Caenorhabditis elegans: one gene and its partner. The protein of the gene in region 1 interacts with the protein of each later gene in a pairwise test. Each region holds a gene or a part of one and is shown in the gene's direction. Other genes may lie near its edges.

The links.
Region 2: the proteins of odr-4 (region 1) and F13H8.2 interact in a two-hybrid assay, tested with the Caenorhabditis elegans proteins (one large-scale study listed by BioGRID).

Annotation. Positions count from the first base shown.
Region 1 is NC_003281.10:6,729,069-6,734,572, forward strand, and holds odr-4 (Odorant response abnormal protein 4), read left to right. Parts: upstream 1-1,731; 5' UTR 1,732-2,165; coding exon 2,166-2,250; intron 2,251-2,585; exon of another isoform or gene 2,586-2,680; intron 2,681-3,094; coding exon 3,095-3,291; intron 3,292-3,340; coding exon 3,341-3,571; intron 3,572-3,710; coding exon 3,711-4,062; intron 4,063-4,110; coding exon of another isoform or gene 4,111-4,116; coding exon 4,117-4,275; intron 4,276-4,328; coding exon 4,329-4,532; intron 4,533-4,578; coding exon 4,579-4,778; 3' UTR 4,779-4,868; downstream 4,869-5,504. Other genes in the region: Y102E9.5 (uncharacterized protein), read right to left, coding at 1-12, 1,005-1,102; Y102E9.3 (HMA domain-containing protein), read right to left, coding at 4,924-5,020, 5,178-5,452. UniProt on the Caenorhabditis elegans protein: Required, with oct-8, for the localization of a subset of 7 transmembrane domain odorant receptors, including odr-10, to the cilia of olfactory neurons AWA and AWC.
Region 2 is NC_003280.10:6,268,514-6,274,539, forward strand, and holds F13H8.2 (Small-subunit processome Utp12 domain-containing protein), read left to right. Parts: upstream 1-1,850; 5' UTR 1,851-1,858; coding exon 1,859-2,014; intron 2,015-2,057; coding exon 2,058-2,178; intron 2,179-2,223; coding exon 2,224-2,434; intron 2,435-2,482; coding exon 2,483-2,756; intron 2,757-2,800; coding exon 2,801-3,000; intron 3,001-3,045; coding exon 3,046-3,496; intron 3,497-3,542; coding exon 3,543-4,187; intron 4,188-4,239; coding exon 4,240-4,721; intron 4,722-4,767; coding exon 4,768-5,012; intron 5,013-5,209; coding exon 5,210-5,214; 3' UTR 5,215-5,494; downstream 5,495-6,026. Other genes in the region: bpl-1 (BPL/LPL catalytic domain-containing protein), read left to right, coding at 5,752-5,793.

The DNA of each region.
Region 1 (5,504 bases):
CGTTTTGGTTTGCTGAAATTCAATGTGAACAACTACAGAAAATCAAGGGTAGCACAGTAACCTTAACAATGAAAAATTTAATCGAATGGATTAAAAATTTTAGTTTATCTTTTTGGACCGCACAAAAACTATGGAATAAACTAATGAAAAAGTAAGCAAGAATGCAAGCTACAGTAATCTTGAAGCCGCATCAGAAACTCTTTTCTATAAATGAATTTTCCGCGGTGGAACCCAAATTTCCATTTCCAGATATCTTGAGTGAATTCAAAGATCAAATAGTGTGTATTTGTAACCGAACCTCAGAATGACATCTCAAACATTTTACACTTTTTTCTACAAACTTACACTCATCCATCTCCTCCTATCCCCATTTTTTTCTCATCCTACCCCCCGACCTCTCTGAAGCAGTTTCCTACCACCGTAAATGTAACATTTTATTCGAAAATGATCACCATCTGGTTAATGGCAAAAGACCGCCCGCAGAGCATCGTAGAGCAATGCAAAAGAAAAGAGCAAAAAGCTGAGATTTGCTGCTCATTACGAGCTCGTTGAGTTGAGGATTTGGGGCCTCCGTCGCAAAAGCTGAAGCTATTTTGCTCGAAAAATCATGACTGATTGTGTTAATGGGTAGTTTTACGGTGATAAAACAGTTTTTTGGATTAGTGAGGTACCTTATTACGAGTGTAACTACAGTAAACCTTTCCTATTTGCCCAGTGGAACAAGGAGAAATTACTTTTTTTTTCGGCTATTTCATGATTTTGCCTACAGAAATTGAAGAAGTTGGCACCTACGCCGTTACTTGATGCGAGACTATACCTTACAATATTTTCTAAACTTCTTGCCAGTAAAAATATAATTGTTTTTGGAAAACTCAACATCTAATAGTAAGTGAAAGTTCTATAGATAAGATCAGAAATGAAGTAAGTAAGAAAAATGGCTCATTTCAGACCTGCTAAATTGGAAGAAACCATCCATAAAACCCATCAATCAAATGAACCAGTACCTGGATAAGCTGTTTGATGAGATATGTGTTCCGACAGAGCTGATCTGTTCAAAGATGACCAACAAAGTGACAAGTAGTGATGCGATTAATAATGTCATGATGTAGTAGATCAATTGATACTGATAAGAAGGTGGAGAATTGAAATAAGAAGGGGAGGTGGTCCAGTGGAAGGGAGAAGCTCTTGACAACTGACACTGGTCAGAAGAAACTCACGGGAAGAGACGATGGGAAACATTGGAAACAATTTCTTCAGTTTTTTGTTTTTTTCTCCGCGTCTCGTTGATTCTTATCTTGAAGCTCCACCCCAATAGATGATTTGGGAAGAATGGTTGGGTTGGGAAAAAGCTTCTGAAAAATATTCCCGTCGAAGTCAGATGTTTAAAGATGGAAAGACACTTTTAAATGAAACTCAATCATTTTGGATACAATTTCTCAGCTGGCGGTCGAACTGGAAACCAAGCTGGAAACCTTGGGAAAACAACCCTGTTACTTAATATATAAATAAATGAAGCCTAGAAAAAAATCGGTCATCAATCCAATTATTTTCCAGGAACCAAATACCTAAATTGTTTAGGAATTGAGTAATAAAATAAATATTTCTGTGACGTCACTATCTTAATCTGCCATTTCACTAAAAAAGTCTAAAACTAATTTCAGGGTTTGGTGTTTCTATGCCCGAAAAGACTTCATATTCCACCTGCCAATTTTCGCCTTGAAAACTTGTGCTCCAACACTCACAAAGACTTTTCCTCTCTGCCTGGTTCTTCAGCCATTTTTTAAATGTTGTTTTAATTTTTATTTATCAAGACTTGACTGATTGACAGTTAAAAAATTATAGTTGATAAAACAGGAAAAAGGTTTGTTCTATCGTCATATCAAAATTGTAATAGTCGGACGTTCAGGGAATTTATTATGATTCAGTGAAGGGTCCTAGGGTAAAATACAAATATTTTAGACAACAAAATTGGTAGATGAACTATAAAACTTCGATTATTTTTTTTTTTGCAAAAGTTTGCACAGTTTTATAGAAGAAAGTATTCAATTGTTGTTCTTTTGTTCGTCTATGTTCCGATTCTCAAAACATTTCGAAAATTCAATTTCGAAAAAAAAACACTCTTTCTCGATTAGAAGAATCTCGTGGTTTCAGATTCAAACATTGAAATGACTAGAAATAGAAGAAAGTCAAAGACTACAGCTACATCTCATCCAGAGTTGCATTTGGAAAAGGTGGACCCCATGAAAACAGGTAATTGAATATTTTTTAAAATTAAATTTTCAATATTTTCTAAATATTTATCAGATAATCTGCTGTTTTCACGAAATTGAGCATTCACGGTTATTGTTGACTTAGCTTTTAGTTAACTTATAAGTTGTTCCAAAAACTTTTGGAAATTGCCAATATTGGGGTCAGAAAGTGCGCTCTGTCGAACTGTCCAACAAAACAATTTTTAAGCGATTTCTGTTTTTTTTCCGTCTTTTTCTTTGAGTTTTCTTCTTTTTTTTTGCTAATTTTCAGCTATTTTACAAATAGAAAATTGTATTTCTTATTTATATTCATAAAATACAACTTTTGATTCCTAGAAATAAGTAAGGGAGTAAAATAAAACGAAGAAAGTACGATGTTCCAATTAAATCCGACTCTTCGCAGCTGTCATTATTGAAATTTGTTTTTCAACGTAAGCGATCTCTCTTTTAACTTTCAGAAAATAAATTTAAACTCTGAAGTTTAGCAAAAACGCCTATATTTAACACGCGTGCCCACTTTACCCGTTAGATGCCTTCGCACAAAAACTAATTTCACGATTACATCTTATTTTCTCGCTCGCGGCGCTCCTCCGGCCGAGCTGGGGGTGTGCATGTTACCTGAGGAGACCGCCTTTTTCTCAATTTCTTGGGTATTCATCGTCATGGTAACCCTCTTTTTGTTTGCCACAGCAGCAGTTGGCTTATCATCCACCTCCTCTGTATACTTTTCAATCAACGTCTCCACATGTATTCTGCATAGCCTTCATACTATATTGACTCGCTAAAGTATTGTCCAAAAACTAACTATCATCTACAAAAAATGACATCAACACTTGCAATTCCAGTTACAGAATCCATGATTCTGTTTGACGTCCAACTCCAGGAATGGGTGACCAAGTCAGCGAAGAATCACGAATTTGTTTTATCCGATAAAGGAATTCCGGCGTCAGCCTACTTTTTGCTCGGATCATTCTGCTCGGATGGTGACATCCACGTGGCATATGCTTCCAAATGTCCGGTTCATAGCAGTGCATTGGAAGAGGTAAAGGATTTTACTATATCACAATTTTCATAATAGTAATTATTTTCAGAATGCTACAGAATCATCAAAGATGCTGGAAGACGAATGGATGTCAGATCACGCAGAACGTCTTCTCCGAATGCTTCCCGGTGGAATTCATGTGGTTGGAATTGCCTGGTTCTCAGATAAGAAGACTTTCTCAGATCGGAAATCACATATTCACAAGACATTGGGTCGTATTCAGAAAATGAATAATCAAATCACAACGGCTAATGTGGATGACTCGATTTCGGATAATATGGTAGGTATCTCAAAATTAGAAAAATTTGCAATGTATATTTTATTTTTCTGGGAAAACAATTATTGTAAAAACTAATAGTTCCTTTCAGATATTGCCAATCCTTTCTTTTCAAAAATCAGTAATATTCTTTCACTTTCAGATCACAGTGTTCTTCGAGACCCCATCCACCACCCCCATCGGTGCCATAATTGATGTGACCAATCGTGGCAACGATAGTGCCCAAAAAGTTCAATTTCAAAAACTTGAATGGATTTCTTTGGTGACAAACGCATCTGCTCGAATTGTGCACAATGTTCCAGTTGACACAGGACGCCCAACTGACTTCTACTCTGACTTGGTAGTCGCCACGAAAAACTTTGTGAATAATTTATTCCAATGTGAATTTACACTTCTTGATGGTGAGATCCGTGATGATAAGGAGCCACTGATCAAAGATATCAAGAAGAATAAAAAGACAACGATTGAGGCACAATTGTTCTTGAATCCTCTTTGTATGTTTTTTTCTGTTTTATTTGACTATGAGACCAATCGTCAAAAAGTTCTAGATAACCGAGAGCTCGGAGCTATCGATGATATTGCGTCCAACATGCACGAAGTTCTTTTTGACATTGAAGTTCGCGCAGCTGTTCCAATCAGATCAACAGTGAAGGACGCAATCCGAGCAATCAAGCATCATTTAGTCAGGAATCTGTTTGCAAGAGTTGGTTAGTTGAAAACAATTTTTTTGAGTTTTTAATGTTCAAAATATCTATTTCAGAACTTCACTACGAATCGATGGAAGTTGTTGAAGAGGAACGATCACCAAAAACTGGAATCACCGTCCATCAACTACCTCGTCCAGCTACTACAGTACTCTACACACATCCAGCAATTCTCATCAATGATTTCCTCTTTGAGGCTGATAATGTAGAAGATGCACAGAAGAATTTTGATGACATGATGGATTTACAGACAAGCATTGGTACAAAACATCTTTTATTCTTCGAATTTCGACTAACAAATTTCAGAACACGTGGATGAAGGCTGGGAACGCGCGCTGACACCAGAAGAGATGGAAGCTGTGCGAACACCGATTGAGGATCTTCATTTCGTTGACTTCGATGGATCAAGCGATTCATGGTGCACAACGAAAACCATACTGATTACTATTGCATTGATTATCGGACTCTTGGCATCCATTATTTATTTCACTGTAGCACATTCCTGAGCTAGTTTTCCCCGAGCATTATGACGTAATTTTGCATATTTTCCAAGTATTTATATATTTTTTCTCTGTGATAAAATACTTCATTTAAATAATCGAATAAGTTAAATCGCATAATATTAAGTATCGAGAATTCGCGTGAAAGATCTTATGGTTTAATATTCGTAGAGATCTCCCCATCACACAACATTGCGTATGCATTTAAAACCACTGGTGTACCTGCATTCAAGACTTCTTCCGCCAATCTGGAATGAAATTTGTGTATACAACAGATTTCGCACAAAACCGCATTTATCAGTATCCATTTGATATAGATACGATTTTCTTTATTATATACTATACATAGGAACTTTTTAAAACCTCCCATTGAAGTATGTTTTTTTTTTTGGAAAAATAACTTACTTCATAGCGGTCACGCATGAAACAGCAGTTAGTGTAACCTTGATTGATTTTTTATCGATTGGCTCTCCTGTGGCGTGCACATCTGGGTGGCTAGTCCTAATTGCGTTAAGGATTTCATCTTTAGTGGTCGTCGAAGTCTCGAGCTTATGAAAAGTAATTGTGACAGTACTTGGAACATCGGATTGAGGAGTGCTGTGCTGAGTCACTGGTGCACACATTTCGGCAGCTCCAGCAAAAGTTACAAGAAGCAAAGAAATAGAAATTAGAGCAGTCATGTTTTTTTTTCAGAAATAGGCAATAAATTGACTGACTCTTCCCACGAAACGC
Region 2 (6,026 bases), on another chromosome or scaffold:
TTTCAATTAAAAAAAACATAAAAGTTCGGCAATGATAAAATCCTGGAGAGAATTTCTGGTTCTTTTCAGGCGCAGGTAACCGTCAGGCGATTTTTGGAGACCCGAAGAACTCGGGGGATGTCCAACTGGGGGGATTCCCAACTCGGGGGATTGGCCACGCCCACAGAACCGTGCCTTACAATACGCCCATTTCTGCAACCTCCGCACGGTTTTGAACGATGATTTTCTTCATTGTTTTTTGGGGGAGAAAATTCAATTTCGACTCTAAAAAGTTCAATTTGAATTGTTTTTCTTCGTTTTTTCAGCCATTTTCGCAAAAAGAAGTATTTTTCAACCGTGACTTGTTAATTCGCCCTCCTTAATTCGTGTATTCCTTTTGTTAATCTCTTTCCCTCTCATATTTTATTGATTTTTTTAATTTCTAGACTTCGTCGAATCGAGGGACCATCAAAATTGCACGGATGAAACAAGGATGTGCTTCTCCAGTCCACCCACGTTAGTATTATATTCTCAAATTGTAGAAAGTAGGAAAAAAATTGATTTAAGAACAAAAATTGAAATAGTTTAACAAAAAATTAATGAAATATCTTCGGATCGAACATATATGGACTTATAGAGGCATTGAAATCGTTGAAACAGCTATAATTTGCTGTCACTGCTCTTTTGAAGTCGGAATTTCTGCATAGTGGCGGGCGATCAGTTCTTCTTCGCAATAACCATGTTATTTTGAATGTTCTTTTTGAATTTAAGCCAAAAGCCTCTAAAAACTAAGCGAATCTGATAATAGACCAGATAAAATCTTTTTTCATTTATATATCAGCGATGTCTTTATGAAAGTTCTAATTTAAATTTTTCAGATCCGCCCGAGCTGCTCATCCTCCAAATTCTTCCGTTTTCATGACAAATTATTGTTTTTTTTGTTGAAATTATGCAATTCATTAAATGTAATATTATCCTTATCTGTAAATAATTATCATGATCAATAAAATCTCGCTCTTAATGTTCAATGAATAGCTTGCAAACCAATTTGTACAATAATTTCATTGAACAATTTCCGTCGGCTCTGAAAAACATTTCATGACAATTTTTCAGGTTATCTTATTCGAATTTTTTAAATAGAACTCGTTCTACGTTCTTCACTTCGTCTCCTCTCGTGTAAATTGTTCTTTCCTTGCAAATAATCGATTTTTACGCGTCCCCTTTCCGTGTAAATTGTTGTTTCACTGCGAAATATCGATTTTTTTGAAATATTTTACTTTTATTCCGCGAAAACGACTCAAAAACCGAAAAAAACAATTCAAATTGAACTTTTTAGAGTCGAAATTGATTTTTCTCCCCCAAAAAACAATGAAGAAAAATCATCATTCAAAACCGTGCGGAGGTTGCAGAAATGGGCGTATTGTAAGGCACGGTTCTGTGGGCGTGGCCAATCCCCCGAGTTGGGAATCCCCCCAGTTGGACATCCCCCGAGTTCTTCGGGTCTCGATTTTTGTAGATCCTCAAATTTAAACTTCCCTCCTTTTTCACAATCTGTGCATTTCCTCGTAGTCGTGTTTGCGGACAATGCGCGTCAATTGACATCTCAATCTTTTTTGATAATTATTTCTCGAGTTTTATAATTATGTTTTTTCCGTATTGCGTTTGCGTCTCTAGATAATAAATACATGTTAAATTTTGCACATCTTTTTTTCATTCGAAATTGTTCAATGGTCTATAATTATTTCCGAGTTCTGCTTTGCTATTTGCACACAACCCAATTTTCGAGTTGTTGGCTCTTTTTTCATCACCAAAAACATTGTCAATTATGTTTTTATAAACCTATTGGAATTGCCCAAAAATTATAATTGTTTGTTTTCAGATGGGATTGACCAAGGATTATTTGAAATATGAACATGCCGGCTCCTGTGGGTGCGTTGGATCTGCCAACGGCCAACTTGTTGCGATTGATGGACAAACCGTTGCTGTATCGGCAAATGAATATTTAAATTTCTACAACATGAGAACTGCAGAAAAGGTTTATTAAAATACAAATCACATTAATTTGTAAATATTTTCAGGTTAACGAAATTATTGAATCTACAAAGCCAATTTCGTGTGTTCGGCAATGCGAGAACAAACCGCTTCTTGCAATTGGATATGCCGATGGTTCAGTGAAGTTGTTCAATCAAGAAAATGAAGGTTTTAATTTGATTATTCAATCAAAATCACAACAATTGCATTCAGATTCTGAACCAATTATGTTCTCTGGTCACAAGAAAGCTGTGAACTGCATCGAGTTTAGCAGTGATGGCCTTCTGTTTGCGACGGGTGGAAAAGATGGAGTCATTGTTCTGTGGGACATTCTTGCCGAACGTGGAATGTTTCGTTTACACGGCCACAAGGAATCAGTCACACAAATGAAATTTGTCCGCGGTGATAGATTCATAATTTCCACGTATGTTTCAACTTAATTTTATTGAAGTAATGTGCTTGTTTCTCTCAGATCGAAAGACAGTTTGATCAAGTTTTGGAGTATTGCCTCGCAGTCATGCTTTTATACAGTGATGGACAGCCGAAACGAAATTTATTCAATGAGCTTGCATCGTGATGAAACAGTACTTGTAGCTGCAACTGCTGAATTAGAATTGCTTGTTTTCGAACTCAATTGGAAAAATGGCGCTATCTTTGAACAAGAAGTAAAAAGTGAAGAACCTTCTGCAAAGAAAGCAACAAACGATGATGAAAAGGAAGATGATGTTCTTGCTAATATGGCCAATGTAATAGTTTTCTAAAAAAATAAGTTATTATAATCAATGTTCAGAGATATATCACGACAAAGCTGCGCGGAAGAGTGATCCGTCAGAGCAAAGGAAGAGCTCTGCAATTGGTCGCAACTCATGATGATCGATTCTTAGTATGTGTTGGTGCTGATAAAGTGGCCGACGTCTATAGAGTCTTCTCCGAAACCGAATCTGCAAAAAGGCTTACCAAAAAGTTAAAAAGTGCTAAACGAAAAGCGACGTAAGTTGTCAATAAATAACTGTTTCATCAACTACATTTTCTCAGATCTGACACAACAACAGTTAACGAGGATGATGTGGCAAAAGATGTGACAATTCTTGTTACTCGCATTGGAGAGATGGTTTTACCTCATAAAATCAAGTGGATTGATGTTGTGAGATCAGTCAAAACAAACGAAAACACTTTAATTTATAAGTGGTATGCACTTCTCACAGACAACACAGTTCATTGGGTCAAAATGAGTATTGAAACTACGTCAAATAGTGTTGAATGTGATAGTGTTGGTAATCTAGACAAACTCGGTCACAGAGAAGATGTACGTGCTTTATGTGTATCTTCTTCTTCAAGTCTTCTTGCTTCTGGAGGTGGAAATGAAGTAATTGTATGGAGTACACACTCATTGCGGTCGTCATTAACATTGACTGACAACGATATCAAAGACATTGTCGCAGTTAATTTTGTTCCTGGTGATAACTACATTTTAACTGGTGGAAAGGTATTGTGTTGTATAATATTTTTTGAAGTTAACTTTGTCATTGCAGAACGGAGAAATCGGCGTGTTCGAGTTAAGTAGTGCCGAGCTGGTTGAAACAAGAAAAGCACACACTGGAGCGATTTGGACTATTCAAAATTCACCTGACAATGAAGGATTTATCACGGCTTCTGCAGATAAGACGGTTCGATTTTGGTCATTTGTGCTGGTGACAGAAGGATCAAGAAAGAGAATTTCCATCAAAGAACAAAAAGTTCTCGAACTTCCCGATGAAGCATTGGCTGCAAGTTTCTCTGCGGATGGAAAATTTCTTGTTGTGGCTCTTCTGAATAACACATGTTCAGTGTATTTTGTTAATACGCTTAAATTCTTTGTTTCTCTATACGGACATTCACTGCCTGTCACATGTGTCGATATTGCACCTTCCAGTAAACTTTGTGTCACTGGATCCGTCGATAAATCAGTCAAAGTATGGGGATTGGATTTCGGTGATTGTCATAAATCATTCCATGCACACGATGATGCAGTAACTTCGGTTTTATTCTGTCCTGGAGAAGAACAACTCTTCTGGAGCGCCGGAAAAGATGGAAAAATTAAACAATGGGATGCAGTGAAATTTATTATGGTTCAAGTTCTTGATCGACACACTTTGGATATTCGTTGTTTGGCTCAGTTTACTAATGGATCTGTTATGGTGAGTATTATAAAGTGAAAAATACCTGTTAATTCAAAATATTGATTTTCAGTTCTCTGCTTCTCATGACAAGTCAATCCGTTGCTGGGAGAAAACCGATGAAATTTTAATTGTCGAGGAACGAGAGGAAGTTGAAAGAGAAGAAGAATACGAGAAAAAACTTATTGAAGAGGAAGACGTTGTTGCTGGTGAAAATGCTGACAATGAAGCTGGTGTGGCTAGCAGCAAGACAAGTTCCAGTGTTGTATCCGCTGAAAATATCATTCAAGCAGTTGACATTGCTAGAAACGAGAAGGTTCAACGCCAAGAAGATCCAGGGCATGAACCACATCCTCTTATTGGAGCGTATAACAGTAAATCATTGGATCATTTCATCGTTGATGTCGTCGCCAAATGTAGAGCCAGCGACCTTGATAGAACACTGCTTCTAGTACCTCTCTCCTACGTTGCGGACATCCTTCTGGCTATTTCATCTTGCACACAACAACAGTATAAAGCTGAATTGTGCACCCATGTTGCTGTATATCTAACAAGGTTTGTCTGAAAACTTTAAAAATGACTGCAACCACTTTTTTTGTAGAATCCACCTCAGTCACATCACTGCCTCGTCCGATTATGTCCCAATCTTCGAACAAATGAAATCGAAAATGTCCGAGGGTGTGGAAAAATTGAGAAATGTCACTGGAATCAATTTGGCAGCGCTTCGACTGTTAGCTACAGAGCTAGAAGATCGTGAGCAGGTTAAAAAGTTTGCTCAAATTGAGCTTGGAGTGGAAGATCCAAAAAAGAAGCGAAAGGGGAGGAAAGCGGTGTTAAAGACGCTAGGTATGTTTCAATATTTTTGAAATTTTAATTTTAAATTGCATAATTCAAATTTTTATATTCTACAAAAATATTATCATATTCAAACAATATTACATACGACACCTGTGTAACGCGAGAGTGCGCCGCCAAATTTGAGAAGCTTTTGTCTGTCATCCCTCATTCTCTAGTAAAACAAACAAATGTCTTTTATTTTTCAGCATAATCCTCCTGCATCTTCTCCACGACCCACCAACTCGAGTTGTTCTCCACAACTACGACGCCTTCAAATCTATATCTTTCTTTTCCTTTTTGTTTCCTTCGTTAGAGTTGTCTCGTTTTTTCACTCTTTCAATTTATTCTTGTTATTGTTACATTCTATATTCTTTTTTTGTTTCTGTTACGTTCGTTTTTTTGTTTCCCACCTCGTTTCGTTGTTTTCCCTTCTTTTTTTGTTTTTTATCCGCATTCAATTTGTTCGCTCAATAAAAACCACTATCGAGAGTTCACTCTTTTCTTATGTGGCTTAAAAGCGGGAGCAATGCGAAATAGGGAGAAGCTCGACTTCTCTTTCATTTTTTCGTTCTCTCCAACAACTAGCATACTGCGTCTCTTTGCTCTCTCATCCGCGACGTCGTCTAGCTTCAAAATGGGAGCCGGTCTTCGACCAATTGACACTCTTTTTCAACATTTTGATTCGGTTTGACACTTTCATTGCAGATTTGCAATATTCAGTATCAAATTACTATCAGTTGAACAAAAAATGATACTTTTCGTTTGGTCACTAGTTTCATCGGCCATTGAGGTTTGTTTTTAGATTTTTTAATAATTATTAATTTTGAAAACCGATGTGGAAAATTTTAAAACCTAAAAAATTGTGAAGAAAAAATGCCGTATACTACAGTAGCTGGAGGAAATTTTGTTGCAAATACATAATCGTAGCGAGACCCCCGCAGTGAACAGTATATGCCTTTCACATACTACTGTACATGTAGGCGTTCGAAAAAATCGATTCTCGGCAGTTTTTTTTTCTAATTT